Saccharomyces cerevisiae S288C: one gene and its partner. Changing the gene in region 1 together with any one later gene gives a genetic interaction. Each region holds a gene or a part of one and is shown on either strand. Other genes may lie near its edges.

Evidence for each region. A genetic interaction does not mean that the proteins touch.
Region 2: mutations in REX4 (region 1) and LST4 together harm fitness more than expected from each alone (negative genetic interaction), as found in Saccharomyces cerevisiae (2 studies listed by BioGRID).

What each region holds. Positions count from the first base shown.
Region 1 is NC_001147.6:180,058-183,274, reverse strand, and holds REX4 (putative 3'-5' exonuclease), read left to right. Parts: upstream 1-1,847; coding exon 1,848-2,717; downstream 2,718-3,217. Other genes in the region: AVO1 (Avo1p), read right to left, coding at 1-1,593; Ras GTPase activating protein IRA2, read right to left, coding at 2,966-3,217. UniProt on the Saccharomyces cerevisiae protein: Exoribonuclease involved in ribosome biosynthesis. Involved in the processing of ITS1, the internal transcribed spacer localized between the 18S and 5.8S rRNAs.
Region 2 is NC_001143.9:114,122-120,452, reverse strand, and holds LST4 (Lst4p), read left to right. Parts: upstream 1-2,466; coding exon 2,467-4,953; downstream 4,954-6,331. Other genes in the region: TPO5 (Tpo5p), read left to right, coding at 1-73; Zn(2+) transporter ZRT3, read right to left, coding at 149-1,660; STE3 (Ste3p), read left to right, coding at 5,826-6,331. UniProt on the Saccharomyces cerevisiae protein: Involved in extracellular amino acid uptake. Required for the trafficking of the GAP1 nitrogen-regulated general amino acid permease from the Golgi to the plasma membrane.

The DNA of each region.
Region 1 (3,217 bases):
CCTTTCTTTTGGGTGTCGCGATGAATTCATAGTCAGTACGGCTTTATCGAAGACATTGTTTAAGGTAGAGTCATCATCGCCATGATAGATGCCATATTTTTGCATAGACATTGGTATGGAATGAGAGGGTATAGTATTAGTTTGCATGTCTGAATCAAGAGACATTTCACCGCTCTCCATGGTTGACGAGTCGTTATTAGAATAACGTTCTTCGGAATATTCAGATCCTAAAAGGGACTTCCCATATGATGAGCCAGGAGTGATTCGGTCACGATTTTGTGCATTGAATTCATTGCTATTACTGCGGCTGTCTTTTGAATCCCTGTTCATGACCGCCGTTCCATCATTTGTAGATTCATGTCCTCCCAAATCAGATACTGTTTTGTTTATGTTTGAGGTCACTGTATCAAAATTCAAATCATCTAAATCTTTTTCATTGATATAAGATTCCATATCGGAAATATTGTTGCTTTCCGTTTCCGTCAAACCGTCCCTACTCACCGATCCGTTACCGCTGGCGCTGCTTCCATCTCCATGTATACCTTTATTGGCATTCAGTGAATCAGATTTTTGTCCATCATTTTTATTGTCAGTTAAAAAAATTTTCCCCTTTTGACTTGTGGGGAAATGAGATTTTAACCTTGAAGCACTTCCTATATTGCCATTTGAACTCTCTCGATCATCAAGAATGCTGATGCTGTTTCTGTTATTTGTGTAGGTGTTGTTTTTATTGTTGGACATGCCGTTGATGCCTTTGTGGGCTGGACTTGCTCCAGAACCCTTAGCATCAAAATCATCATCTAACTGAAAAAATTGAGAGTGTATATCGTCACCTTCTTCGTCATCGTCGTCGTCATCATCTTCTTCTTCTAAGTTTTCATCGAAATCGAAGTTCATATCGAATTTACTGCCTTTCTTATTATGGCGAGCACCAGGTGGATGCAAAGTAGATGATTTTGCTCTTGTATTAGTTGTATTCATGACATTTTTATTTCCAGAAGTATTTGAGTGGTCCCTTCGACTTTTGAATATCCTCACGAAAGGAAGCGACGATCTCTTACTAGATTTCTTCTGCATTTCCATCGAACTATTTAAATATGAGTCTTCCTTTGAGGAAGTTTTGTGATGTTTTCCACTGGTATGGTCGTCATCATTTAAAAGAGAGTTCGACGCAGATGAATTAAGTGGATTATAACGAAGTGTTCCATTTTCTTCAACTATCAGAGTATTTTTTGCACTTTTATCTTGCAAATTTCGTGTTTCTTCCTCGTCTCTTTCAGTCTTCTCTGCTCCTATTAAATTCTGGTTAGCCTTTCCTTTTTGGCCTTCATTCTCCCTCATTATCCTCATTTTCCCTAATGAAGCATAGTTTTCCATAAAATCCTTAGATACCGGTGGAGACTCTAGTTCAGGTAACAAGCTTACGCCGTCTGAGTTCATATATAATTCACGGATAGAAGAATCTAAGCACTGCTCTGTGTTGAATTCATCTACGGGTATGTACGGTTTTATTATTCTTTTCATTTGATCTTTCTCCGGACACACTCGTAGAAACTGAGCCCGCAGTTCATTTAATACCGTCACCGTGTCCATTATCGTCTTATTATGGTGTGGTGGGGGTTTTACAAACACTGTTTTATTTAGTTTTCCTGTTCAGTAGCCTGTATCTATTGAGAATTATTATACCGTATATTTTTTGACGCGGGCTGATATGTAAGGTCGGCTAAAAAAAAGAAAAATTTCAAAAGTTAAACTAACCTCATCGCAACCACAATCCATTTAAAGCCTGGTTCTAGAGGCTTCATAGACGTTTACAGATTTAATAAAGTAGATAGCGTACAGTTTTAATGGCTCTCTCTTCAAACTGGCAGGCACTATTAGCCTCCGAAAGCAATCCTACCTCCAATGGAAAGAATAAGCAATCAAATAGGAAAATCAGAAACGTTAAGAAAGTTAGCAAAACAGTAAATGTCAGTAGTACAACCCAATATGCCCCTCGAAAGCGCAAAAACGGCAGTAAAATTATGGACATGGTATATAACATGAACAAGGAGATTAGTAAGCATGAGAAAGACAAGCTCGAGGGAAAAGTGTTTGAATTCAACCCAAATAAAGCAAATACTAGTACTACTATTAAAGAGCCAGTAAAAGTGGGTATTTCGGAAGATACTCGTATTAATAGTAATAAGAGTAAAGAAATTGGGAAATACATCGCCATGGATTGTGAATTTGTAGGCGTTGGTCCCGAGGGTAAAGAGTCTGCGTTAGCTAGAATATCAATCGTAAATTATTTTGGACATGTCGTCCTCGATGAATTTGTTAAGCCAAGAGAGAAAGTTGTAGAATGGAGAACTTGGGTTAGTGGTATTAAACCAGAGCATATGAAAAATGCCATTACATTCAAAGAAGCTCAAAAAAAGACTGCGGATATTCTGGAAGGTAGAATTCTTGTAGGGCACGCTTTAAAGCATGATCTCGAAGCATTGATGTTATCCCACCCAAAGTCACTACTCAGGGACACTTCAAGACACCTCCCATTCAGGAAGTTGTATGCTAAGGGTAAAACACCCAGCTTAAAGAAATTAACCAGGGAGGTTTTAAAAATTTCCATTCAAGAAGGTGAGCATTCTTCAGTCGAAGATGCTCGTGCCACCATGCTATTATATAAAAAGGAAAAAACGGAATTTGAAAAAATTCACAGAAACACTTTCAACTAAGACGGTAGATGAATGGCCCCTTTTATTCTTACAATTAAAATGCATTGGTATGTACATTAGTCTATGTGGCGCTTGAATTTACTGAGCCATTCATTACACGATAGAATATATAAAAATTGTAGCTGTATAAAAGCAACCCACGTAACAAATTGCGAAAAATTAGCGATAAGAAAACCCTAACATGAGATATGTACATTCATGCTTACAGATAGATATTGATATTTCTTTCATTAGTTTATGTAACACCTCTAAGCAGAACATGACATCCTTGATAAAATCATTGTCATTATTCTCTTACGTTCATAGATATCTTCAGGTTTTACATCTAAAGGTATCATCATGTCGGAGTTCTTCGCAAATATACCAGAAGAAGTCACAATCGATAAACCTCTTTTGGTTAGACGTTCAATGGATTCTTCGTGAAGTTTTTCTAACGAATTAGACTCTGAATGCGTCACTAATAAGTTTAAAATATCGAAAGCAAGTGGAACACAATCCGA
Region 2 (6,331 bases), on another chromosome or scaffold:
CGATTATGGTGATGAGCACCATACAGCAGAACAAGAATTTGATCTTGCCGATGATCGTAGATATGATATATGATATATGATCGTGATTATACACCGTTATTTAATGGGAAAAGACTTATATAGAAAGAATATACGTAGTTTTAATTTATCAAGTGAAAAGGGCACTCGCTAGAATTAGCAAAACGCCAGTGCAGCACCATTTCAAGCAAGTTGTGCCTGAGCTATGGGACTGTTTCATTTCTTCATCACCTTCTCCTTGATGATGATGATGTCCATCGCTAAATCCGATACCAGTTTGGAACATTTGTAAACCAATTACTAATAGGAACCCTGCAGTAACGCTCAGTAAAAAATCCATGTTGGGTTCGTGATCCCTTGGAGTACTACCTTTAAAGATGAAATAACCTATCAATGCACCTAATGGTTGAGATCCACCACCGAGAACGGCAGTAATCAAAATGGCAACCCATTTAGATTCGAAAACAGTGTAGAATGGTAACGTCATTGCAAATCCTTCGACAAAATTATGGATCGTCAAACTTAAAAAAATGGAAAATCCCAAGGACTTTGACGAATCTGACCTGTTAGTGTAAAAAATAATAAACCCTTCGGGAAATTTGTGTAATGCAAGGACTAGACAAGTTTGCATACCAATAGACAGTAATTTGGAAAAAGGGGTCTCTAAGTGATGATGGTGGGGGTATAATGAACCATTTTCGGGATGGTATTGTGTGTCTGCCAATGCGGCCGGATTCTCAGTTACATCATTTCCCAAAGGTGACGAAAAAGAGTGCGACAACTGGTTGGAACCATAATTTTCGGGCGATTCAGAGGAATGATGATGGCGGCTCGAAAGAAAATTCTTACGGTACAACGATAGGTTTTCAAGATCGTAACCGATATTATTTTCCACGCATACAAGGCCACGATGATCCTTGTCATCGGATTGTCCATTATCTTCTGATCCCTCGCATCCATGTGGCACGTTTCTTTCACTTTGAGAAGACTTTATCACTGGTGGGACACATGCAATATATTCTGGCTGCTCTGATTGCAAGAGCGGAGTGCACTTGTTTAGGTCACAACACTCGCCTTCTGATTTCCTTCTGGTTAATAAGTCAATTAGGGACATTTTCTTTTTCATTTGGGGTCTATCGCTATCCTTTGTAATCAACGGGTCATTTTCAGAAACACTGGAAGAAGATGTTGCATAACCATGCTCAGAGGGAGCATTTTCTAAATCATGATCGTTGCTAAAATTCGAATGCGAATCCGCATGTGAGTGTGAGTGCGAATGCGAATGTGATTTGGAGTGTATATGTGAACCTGTAGCATGGTCACCGCTATCAGCACAGTGTACCAACGATTCGCTGGCGAAAGCGTGGACTAGGTAGTTTAAGAAAAAACTGAGGCAAATACCCAAAAGCAATCCAGGAAAAACCTTGAACCGGTTTGATTTTTCGATCCGAGGCAATAGCATGTATAGTGAAGTAGTGATCATAGATCCGGCACTTAGAGAAAGACCATAGTTGACCAACTTAGATTGGCTATTGCGCTTGCTATCGAAGGCAACCGATAACAACGGCACACACAGGGCCCCAAGTATGCACAGCACCGACGATATAAGAGAAAACAACAACCACCTGGGAATTTTTTCCATTTTCTTGCGTTTCTTCACTGTGATGCTTGTGAGAATATTAGGATATACCAACGTGCAACTCTGAAATGTCAAAACGGTCGTGTATAAATAAATGATATACCAGTAGGTGAAATCATCTCATTTGTCTTTCTAAAAAAGTCCATTACCCTTAAGGTTGTTGTCACAACCCACGGAGCAGTTTTAGAGGTGCAAAATTGAAAGAATGGCCACATTTTGAGCAATTCATCGACAACAAGAGCTTATGATTAACTTGGGTTGTGGGCAATTGGGTGTACTATGAAGCAGCCAATACCTGTTTTACAACAGTATTCTCAGTTTCAGCTTAGAGATGTGTCAAATCGAAGGCTAGTGTGGTGCACGGAGTTTATGGCACATTGGTAAGTAATCATTGCAACTTTTTTTTATTTGAGGAATATAGTAAGAGAGAAGCTTTAGTGATGGTCAAAGAAGAGAGGAATACAAGTGAGTTGTATCTAGGATTTTTTATTACGTGAGTGTTGTTTTACTTTAGTCGGTAGGAATCATTGTTATTTTTGTCTGTTTGTTTGTCTCTATTTTTGGGTACACGTGCGTGTTTCTTCTAGTGGATGGTTTGAACGAAGCAGGTTCTCAGGATTGATTGATTGATCTGCTTTAGTGTGTAACGTTCTGCGACTAGCTTTCGTTGCTACCGATATATAAAGAAAAAAAGGAGAGCGTGTGTTTGGAGCGTCTTAAACCCCATTGGTGAGAGCCTCCAGTACCATTTGCCTGTTAAAACTGTCTTGTGTGTGGCCTTGTAGAGAAGGTGAAGAGGGAGAGTTTATATGTTGGGTAATTTACTGAGAAATAAGACGAGTTCGTCTGGTTTTGAGAAGAGCTCAGAGCATTCCGATTTTTCCTCCGTAGTTCCCAATGTCCCTGTATACTGCAAAGCGGCAAGCACAGGAACTACTAAGACCGCTGCTGGAGCTCTTTTAGATACTGCAGTCAATGTGGAAAAGCCTTCGGAAATGCTATCAACGACTTCTCCGCCCATTTTAGATCATATATCGGATGACTTAAAACTGAAGCTTTTCGGCTCGAGGGATATTCCTTATAGTCGTCCTATCGATACGTTACAAAACAACGGAGGTCTTGGTACTGATAAAATCACGTCTATTAACGAAAAAACGTATGCATTCAGGATTTTGATCATTGAGGAAGCGGGTCAAATGGCGTGTAGGAACAACTACCGTGATATCTTCGATTACACTACGTCAAAGATTTCAAATTCGATGGAGCAGATACGGCCGAGTGAATTGAAGGAATATATATTTGGTTCTCCCGTAAGATCTTCCGATTTGACGCAGTGCGACAAGATAAGGACGATTCCTAACTCGGATTTGGTACTCATAACTAGAATTTTCTATTACACACACCAATACAACCGCATCGCAATTAGCTTATGCATACCGAGGATATTGTTGCCCGTAGTTGCAGAGTCGTGGTCTTCCATTTCATCATGGTTGACCCAGACTCAAAAAATGCTCATTGGTTTCTTGACTAAAAACCGTATTATGCAAGAAAATACTGGCAATTACAGCAATAATTCAGTCATAAAATTGTCAAATATTGACATCAGGACGCATTATCCCAAGGAAATTGAAATAATGGTGCAAACTTTACAAAAAAGAGTCATACCAGGTTTACGTTCTATGTCTGAGATTCCTAGGCTTTTCCTTTACCCTGAGACATTTAAAGAATTCGTTCACGTTTGGTTCAAAAGTATATTTAATTGGATTGAAATCAAAGATGGACCGAAACTAGGCTTCCTTCCTCTCCTAATGGCAATGATTATATCTGATTACAGGCACACTATAAGAGAACTAAAGACATCCAAGATCGTAATCCTGTCAGGAAACATGGTGGTTGCTAACAAGTTACTGTTCATCTTATCGGCTTTATTGGAGCCAAAGTACAAGGGACAAATAACGATACGGCGGGAAAACATAAGATCGGATTCGTCCGCTGTATCAAGAAATAAGTCTAACAATAATTTTGTCGATAAGCCTGAGACGGAATTGAGCACACTGACTTCAACAGACAACCTTTTGAGTCGCACAGAAAATAATAGCAATCATAATTACAACAACAGTAATGTGAGCTCTAACAGCATTGGATCACCCAATTTCCATTCTTTGAGGAAAGGATGGCAAATACCCAATCGGAGGAACTCGAACACTTCAGTATCTGTGTCTTCTAGTGAGTCTTTAGCGGAAGTTATTCAGCCATCTTCCTTCAAAAGTGGGAGTAGTTCATTGCATTATCTATCGTCTTCTATCTCAAGCCAACCTGGTTCGTACGGTTCTTGGTTCAACAAAAGGCCAACAATTTCTCAGTTCTTTCAACCAAGCCCTTCTTTAAAACACAACGAGTCGTGGGAGAGGCTGCAAACAACTGCTGGAAATATGCAAAGGACTTCAAGTTCGTCTTCTTTGCAGCAAGCAACCTCCAGGTTATCACTAACCACTCCGCAACAATCACCGTCTATCAGCGAATATGATGAGTATCCTTGGATGGGCACACCTGGCTCTCCTAATGTTGGAGATGTGTCTCACGCACCCCCATTGGTTAAGAATATATCATATAAATTTCCACTAAAGAACGTTGAGTTGAAAAGAGATTGCCAAAGGATCTCTCAGGATGATCTTTTGGATGAGGCTTTTGAAAGAATATGTCAGCCCTCTTTGGCTGACCTTAATTCCACTTACGAAATTTTTCCAGGTAACTCTTCTTATGCGGATATTTTGACTACTGATTCTGATATTGATGATGGCTTGATGAATAAACCTCTGGAACTATTGCCGAAATATACAATGTATTTAACCCATTTTAACAATTTTTTCCAGTTGCAAGCATGTCCTGCTGGTCAAGAATCAGAGAGCAGAATAACAAATTCTATGAAGATTGACCTGTTAAAGGCGGATTACACAAGAAGTCTATTAGTATCGTTACGTTCAAGGGACATTAGGGATGTCGCATTGAAAAGAGAGTTTACTGGCAATAACAACAATAACAGCAACCAGAATATCTATGATGAGAATTTTGTCGGAAAAAGGAAGTACGTGTTGAAACAGAAGACCAGAAAAATCTTTTCCTGTGGCAAGATTGGCAAGCTAAGTACTAGTTTGGAAAACTGCGTTAATTTTGTTGAAAATAGTATAAAGAGTGCAATGATGTTATATGATGATAATGGAATAGATAGTGAGCTTCGCGATTCAGAAGCTTTACGGATTTTTTCATCTCTTGTTCATTATTGTAATGCAGGTTAATGTTTTCTCCTTCTTTACATGTTTAATATATTCCAAGTTACCTAAGAGGTGTACGATATTTTTTTCTTTTATATATATGATTTTCTCTATTCATTTTTTAGTTTTTTTTGATACATAAGCGAATCGCACATTGCGCAACTTCAATTTGTTGATTCGCCAAAGTATTCTTACCATAAAACAACCATTCGTTGCTTTACCCTTTCGTAATCATTTACCGTGATAACCATAATCAGAAACTTATTATTTCAGCCTAGTAGACCGGCCAAGCAGGCCTTGTAATGTTTCTCTTGATTGCTTGAATCTTTTAAGCAGCCAAATCTTTCCAAAAAAATGCAATTATCAGAACAAAACTATTTAAGGTGACTTCTCCGTATTTACACCACCAGAAGCGTTCTGGCTCCCCTTTTCTCTAAACGTTAAACATTTTACAATTGAAATGTTACCAATCCTATATTATTGTACCACATTGCCAGATTTATGAACTCTGGGTATGGGTGCTAATTTTCGTTAGAAGCGCTGGTACAATTTTCTCTGTCATTGTGACACTAATTAGGAAACTTCTCGACTATCAATGTGTAAATGAAGGAATAATGGCGGAAACTTTGAAACTTTGTCAATAATTGCATCATTGGATGCGTTTCATTTGGCCGTTATCACGGAGAGGCAGAGTTCTCTCCACAATTTGGGCAGAAGTCTTTTGAAAAGACATATATATATATATATATGTATATGAGTGGATGCTTAAGGTAAGAATAATTTCTGAATTCCCAAGTATTCATTTTGTGCAGTATTCACATATTCTATTTTATTGCTTTTTAACTTTAGAGGCAATTAAATTTGTGTAGGAAAGGCAAAATACTATCAAAATTTTCATGTCATACAAGTCAGCAATAATAGGGCTTTGTTTGCTAGCTGTGATACTATTAGCTCCCCCTTTAGCATGGCATTCACATACCAAGAATATTCCAGCAATCATTTTGATAACATGGCTTCTTACAATGAATTTAACGTGTATTGTAGATGCGGCAATATGGAGTGACGACGATTTCCTCACGAGATGGGATGGTAAAGGTTGGTGTGATATTGTCATCAAGTTGCAGGTTGGTGCGAATATTGGCATATCATGTGCCGTTACCAACATCATTTACAACTTGCATACAATTTTGAAGGCAGATAGTGTTTTACCGGATCTTTCATCATGGACGAAAATCGTCAAGGACCTTGTGATTAGCTTGTTCACACCTGTCATGGTCATGGGATTTTCATATCTGTTACAAGTATTTAGATATGGTATCGCTCGTTACAACGGTTGCCAAAACTTATTGTCTCCGACATGGATTACCACTGTTTTGTATACCATGTGGATGCTTATATGGTC